Mus musculus: one gene and its partner. The protein of the gene in region 2 purifies or fractionates together with the protein of the main gene of each other region. This does not show direct contact. Links are inferred from orthologs where the notes say so. Each region holds a gene or a part of one and is shown on either strand. Other genes may lie near its edges.

Region 1 (2,751 bases), on a different chromosome or scaffold from region 2:
ACAGGAGGGACTCTAGAGGGCGGAGGGACTGGGGAGCCACCCAGCAGCCCCGGTCGCCCCGAGCGCGAGACCCCCAAGACGGTTGCTGATTGGCTGGCGATGGTGCAGGTGGTGGGCGCGCGGGAGACTAGGCGGCTTCTCTTCCCCCACTTGAACGATTCCACCCCCCACTTCCCTCCGCCAGCGGCCGTTATTTCGCGCGCACGCGCACATAACAGGGACGTCGTTGCTGAGCGGGAGAGTGGGGAGCGCGCCGAGGGAGTTACAGCGGGGCGGGGCTAGCTTGGAGCGCGTGCCCGCTTAACGGTCGGTCGCTGTGCTTAAGCTTTCGCGTCAGCTTTTTGATTCTTCTAGGCCACCGTCCCCTCCCCATTCCAGTGGTTTATTTACAATCTTGGCCTAGTTTGGGGGTTTCCCAAAGATGGCGCCTACATGGGTGTCCTGCAGAGCTTGATCCTGACCCCCAGGGTAGTTATGGACTCTGACCCCAGCCCTGTCATCCTCAAAAACCAGGCTCAACCATGGAATAAAAACTGTATTTACACAACACGTCACTATACAAGGATTTTTAAAAGAAGGTAGTGTCAAGAGGGACCGCTGTGCTGGCTGGCGGCCAAGCTCAAGAGATTCGCCTGTAAAGAAGAGGAACGTGCGTTAGCATAGCAGCCTAAGGTGGGCTGCGGTGGGGGAACACCATGCAGAAAGGGCAAAGGTGGCCTTACCTTCAGGAAAGACTCCACCTGCTTCCCAGAGATGCCTTCCACCTGTTCCAAGTCCTCCACCTAGTGGGACAGCAACACTAGGAAGGGAGTGGACACAGCACGGGGACCCCCCCACTGCACCTGTCCCCAGGGTTGTTACCTCACTGAAGGGGCCGTGGAGCTCCCTCCAGCCCACGATGAGCTGGGCTTTCTTCTGGCCAATGCGCTGCAGGCTGCGCAGTTCCCGAGCTGAGCCTTCATTCAGCAGATCCAATAATTTTTTGCGCCCATGTGCCAGTAACTCTGGGCTAATCTGTACCTCCCAGTAGTCCTCATCCTTTTCCACAGCTTCTGACTCAGGGGATGGCTCCAGCTATGAGGTAACAGAAATGCCAGTAAAGGCAGTGGGTGACTGCCATGACGAGGCACAGTCCATCTCTCTGCGGCCTCTCCCCTCTGGTCACTAATTTTGTTGTGCTTCTTTAATTGCTAGCTCCTTTCTCAGTTGCTGTGAAGAGTCAGTGAGTGACTGAGCGCACACATCAATCCTGATTAGGAAGAAGTGTAATTCAGTGGTAGAGCGCTTGCCTTCCATGCTTGAGGGCTGGGGTTCAATTTCCAGTACAGGGGGGAAAAGGGAAACCAAACAAAAAACCCATGCGGGGGAAACTGCATCATGCCATTACAATGGGGACAGTTCTACTAATGTTTTGTGTGGAGAAAATTATATTTTTCATTTTATGTGAGAGATTCTTAAATACTTGTCCATTTCCTAAATAGGCTCTACAGTTCTTAGAGGGCAGGGGCCACATTAGATCCAGTCAGCAGCCAATCCAAACACAAGGGGCATCAGGGGCATCAAGAAGAAAAGAAACAGTGGTAGATATTTTCTATGAGACACATCCATACCTCACTCCCCCACCACACCCCCTCAAAAAAGCTCTATAAGGCATCTTTAAGGCATTATGCAAAAGGCTCCCAGCTGGAAAATGGGGTGGGACTCACCTTCCTTTTGGGGCCTTTCTTCAGGAGCTGGATTTGGTTTGAGGACTCTCGCTGCTTCTGAACTGAAAGGAATTTGGAACTGGTCAAAGACACAGGCCACCTCCTGCCCTCCCTCCCCTCCTAGTAACCATTTGCTTCTCCCATTTCTATTTCCCTAGCTCCTTCCTTTCAACATGACTTTTTTTTTTTGAGGCAGGGTCTCATTCTATAAGGCTAACCTAGAACTCATAGTAACCCTCCTGCCTCACCCTCCTGAGTGGCACCATAGCCAGTCAGTACCCCACTGTCTACAATACTAGAGGACAAGCATCTAGGGCTTCTTCAGACCCAGTGGGAGGATGAGTGACATGATAACAGCATCTTTCCGTCTCTTCCTTTCTGAAATAGCTGCTTCTTCCTGGAACCTGGAACTAAACTTACTCCGTTGCAGGGGCATCACTACAGCCTTTTTCAGGGGCTTTGCCACTGTGCCACTATAAGAGGCAGGCGGCTGGAGAATTGTGGGAGTGTTCTCTTTTTCCCTTGGATCCGGTGCCTCCTGGGCCAACACCTTGGCTTCCAGTTCTTTTTGCTTCATCTTAAGCCTCTGTCGGAAAGAATCATGGGAGATGTGATTTAGCTCCAGCCCCAAAGCAGTGGATTAGGAAGGTTAGCAGATAGAGTTCTGAGGTCCAAGAGGAGAGACAGAATTCAAAATAACTAAGGGAGGTCTACATCAGAGGGCTACCTAAAGACAGAATGAGTCCTTTTAAGCAAGGTATTCAACGTGAGGAGGCTTTGTTTTTTGGTTTGTGGGGTTTTTTGTTTTTGTTTGTTTTTTGGCTTTTCAAGGCAAGTGGTGAAACTCAAACTCAGAGATCTACCTATCTGCCTTCAGAGTGCTCGAATTAAAGGTCTGCAACACCACCTCATGTTTTAAAGATTTTTTTTTTTTGATTATACAGTGTTATACCTGCATAGGCACCAGATCTCACTGCAGACGGTTCTGAACCGCCATCATGCCGTTGCTGGGGCCTGTACTCAGGACCTCTGTAAGGAAAACCAG
Region 2 (3,656 bases):
GTGTTTTTGGATTCCAGGGGCACTCCTTACCTCCACACTCTTCTATGATCTCAGCTATTGTGCTTGCTTCATCACCAGCCATTATCAGGATGTTTTTAAGACCATCTAGAACCACCTGCACCACTTGAGAATCTTTTACTGACAGTAAGTTACAGAATGGTGGTATTACGTTCTGCTGTACAAGGTATTCAACCTAGACAATACAAGAGAAGAAATATCTGTAATATTTGTTAATTCTTTTTCCTCTAACAACTGCAGTACCCAGACGAAAACATCTAGTAACTTACAAAAATAAGAAGGGCCCTTGCTGAAATTAGTAAAGTGACAAGTTAAATTTTCTCATACTCACTTGATCTTTTCTGCCACTTATCGTTAAGTTGCTAATTGCCCAAGCAGCTTCCTTTTGTGTTCCAAAGTCCCCCTAAAATGTAAAAACAATTTCGCAAAGTAAGCTCTTTATCAAAAACATGTGGGTTGTAAAAAATTAAGATAAATAATGAATTTATAATATAACTGACCTTAGCGAGCTGATGAATAATCATAGGGATTAACCCAGCATCTATTACAGCTTGAACTTGCTGCTGATTGCCTGCTGTTATATTGGAAAGGAACCATACTGCTTCCTGTAGTGAACAAAATATGGACCACTTTTATTGAAAAAGCTACTTTTAATGTTTTTATTTTTCTCTTTAATATTTTAAATATTTGATAACAAAATCTCCTGAGTAGTGTTAAAGTGACCAAATCTAAAAAGTGATCGGTTGTGCAAGACTGCCCTTTTAATTTTACTTACTATCGCTGTATGCGATTCTAGTTTTGGTATATAAGCAAAGGTTGTACACATCTGTGCCACAGTGCATATGTGCAGGTCAGACAAATTCTAACTTTTGAGATTTGGTTCTCTCCTTCCATCATGTGGCTCTAGAGATCTAACTCAGGTTGTCAGGTTTACAAGGCAAGCATTGTACCTGCTATTTAGCCAATTCAGACTTCCCATTTAAGTAAAGAGGAAGGAAGCTTCCAGTCGTGATACTCGTATGTCCACTAAACCCAGTGTTTATGTAATGATCTGTAAGCCTACTTTAAGCTAAGCATAATTCTAAGTAGATACAACAGCAAATAAAGCAGCCTCAAACCTTTCTCCACAGAGTTGTATTAGTTTATTTTGAAAGGCATGCCCAAAGATTGGAATTTCCAAATTCTTGTCAAAACTACTTCCACTACAAGATATTTATTTTAAAGCATTAGGTCAGGGGAGAAGGTTCGGTGGATAAGGTGCCTTCTACAAGAACATGAGGACCTGCGTTCAGGTACTCAGCACCTATGCGAGACACATGGTGACCAACAACTATAGCCACACAGCTTGAGAGAAAACGAAACCCTAATACACTGTAAAGTACAGCCATAAGGGAAAATAGTTTAAAGGGTCCTCAAAAAACTACCACACAGTTACCATGACTGCAGCAACTTCTAGCAACATCAGAGAGTAAACTAAATCAAAGACTTGAAAGTTACTGATGTGTCAGTGTTTTCTGCAACTTTATTCACAATAGCCAAGCAGTGGCAACAACCCCAGTGTCATTCAACAGGTAAATGAGAAAAATGTGGTATAACATCCAACAGAGTGACTTATTCGGCCATAAAAGCAAATCAGGTCAAGGCTTGCTTGGGAGGAGGCTGAGGTGGTGAAGTGCCTGCCATACGAGCATGAGCCCCGACGAGATCTCTAGCACCCATCTAGAACCTCGGCTCACTGACACATATCTGTAACCCAAGCACTGGTGAGGCACAGACACAAAAGATCTGTAGTGCTCAGGTCCAGTGAAAGACATTGCTTCAAAACACAAGGTGAGAGCATGATCTGTTCTCCAAAACCAGAGCCCAGCTCCTAGGAACACCTGGGCAGCTCAGTCACCTCCTGGACCTCCACCAGCTCAGGGAGGGAGGGGCTGTTTCTGACCTCTACTGGCACCTGCATTTATATGCACATGCCCACCCACCCATACACAGAATTAAAAATAATAAAAGTCATTTTTAAAAATACAATGTAGGGAGTAACTGAGGAAGATAACTGATGCTGACCTTGGTCCTTCCCCCTCACACACATAAACACACACACACAGCTCTAACATTCTATTAAATAAATGAACTTTAAAACAAGACATAAAACTACTTAAGTGTCTGCTGTCCAATTACAAATACATTTGTGTGTGTGTGTGTGTATTTAAAACTTTAAAGGAATACATTTTATGATCTTTGAAAGAAGACATGATACCCTAAGGTCTTTTCTATGTTGTAGAAGATTAAATTACATGTTTATTTTTTAAAAATACCAGTTATTTTTGTGGGAGGTTTTGTATGTATTTTTTGTATACTGGTTAATAACTTAATAATTACCAATTTTGCTCAACCTATTTAAACATAAAAAGTCCAAATATTCACTATTTTTATTCTGTGCTGAGAGTGGGACTAAAGGAAGCAGACAGTGATGAAACAGTAAAACCGTGACAAAGATCTCTCCCCTGGAGTGTCATGACTGAATAAACATCCTAATAGCAACGAGGAAACCGTCATAGAGAGGAGAAGCAACAGTGCATGCCTTTACCTTATTTATTTTCTCTTTTGGGTGTGACAAGAGGTTTGGGAAGTGGGACAGGACATCACAGTTGAGAACCACCTGGGTCTGCTCATCAGTGCCAGTCACTATGTTCCCAACCGCTCTGAGTGCTGCAGTCTGAAGGAGGAAGAAAACAGTTTTAAACATGTTTATAATGAAATTGTTGTTTCCGTCTTTTTCATTAACTCTTGAGAGACTGTGAGGAACAAAAAATTAACATTTATTCCATCCCTACAACAAAGCCATAAGCAAACCAAGCAATGGCTTTTAAACAGTAATTTCTTGTGGTATTTTTTTTTTAAGATTTATTTATTATTATACATGAGTACACTGTAGCTGACTTCAGATACAACAGAAGAGGGCATCAGATCTCATTACAGATGGTTGTGAGCCACCATGTGGTTGCTGGGATTTGAACTCAGGTCCTTTGGAAGAGCAGTCAGTGCTCCTACCCACTGAGCCATCTTGCCAGCCCCCAGTGGAAAATTATTGAACTCCACATAAAACTTTCTAGGAAAGTTTTTTAAATAGCGAAAACTAAAATTTATGAAGTCCCATCTTTAAAACAGTTCTTATTCATCACTGAACAGGTCCCATAGACTTTAATATTATTCTGAATTAGCATGCATTTGTGTCTACCACGTCATATACAGTCCTGCATTTAATATATTTAATGTCATTCTGGGTCAGCATTTATTTTTAGTTGGTAAAACATTTGGCAGAGAAGTATAATGAGCAGAATTTACAACAACCCCTAATCAGAGCACAGCAAAAGGTATGCAGTTAGGATACTATCCCAAAGGCAGACTGAAGACTTCAGTGAAAAGAAAAGGGACCTGAAACAGAGCAGGATGAAGGAGGAGCCTAAGCATTCAGCAGCAAGGATGGAGAAGGAACCCAGGAATCCAGCAGGACATGAAGGAGAATGCAGGCATCAGATATGCACCATGCTGTCCCTAACAGGATACTGAACACAGGCATCAGATATGTACCATGCTGTCCCTAACAGGATACTGAACACAGGCATCAGATATGTACC

Evidence for each region. The genes of interacting proteins can lie anywhere in the genome.
Region 1: the proteins of Kpna3 (region 2) and Kif22 purify together in Homo sapiens (affinity purification with mass spectrometry; 3 studies listed by BioGRID and IntAct, counting the BioPlex papers as one, with this or other methods). This does not show direct contact. The link is inferred for Mus musculus from reciprocal best matches to the Homo sapiens genes KPNA3 and KIF22.

What each region holds. Positions count from the first base shown.
Region 1 is NC_000073.6:127,027,209-127,029,959, forward strand, and holds the end of Kif22 (kinesin-like protein KIF22), read right to left. Parts: intron 2,293-2,751; coding exon 2,127-2,292; intron 1,769-2,126; coding exon 1,707-1,768; intron 1,075-1,706; coding exon 862-1,074; intron 783-861; coding exon 723-782; coding exon of another isoform or gene 633-722; coding exon 585-632; 3' UTR 523-584; downstream 1-522. UniProt on the Homo sapiens protein: Kinesin family member that is involved in spindle formation and the movements of chromosomes during mitosis and meiosis. Binds to microtubules and to DNA. Plays a role in congression of laterally attached chromosomes in NDC80-depleted cells.
Region 2 is NC_000080.6:61,370,353-61,374,008, forward strand, and holds part of Kpna3 (importin subunit alpha-4), read right to left. Parts: intron 2,735-3,656; coding exon 2,606-2,734; intron 624-2,605; coding exon 519-623; intron 422-518; coding exon 350-421; intron 194-349; coding exon 31-193; intron 1-30. UniProt on the Homo sapiens protein: Functions in nuclear protein import as an adapter protein for nuclear receptor KPNB1. Binds specifically and directly to substrates containing either a simple or bipartite NLS motif.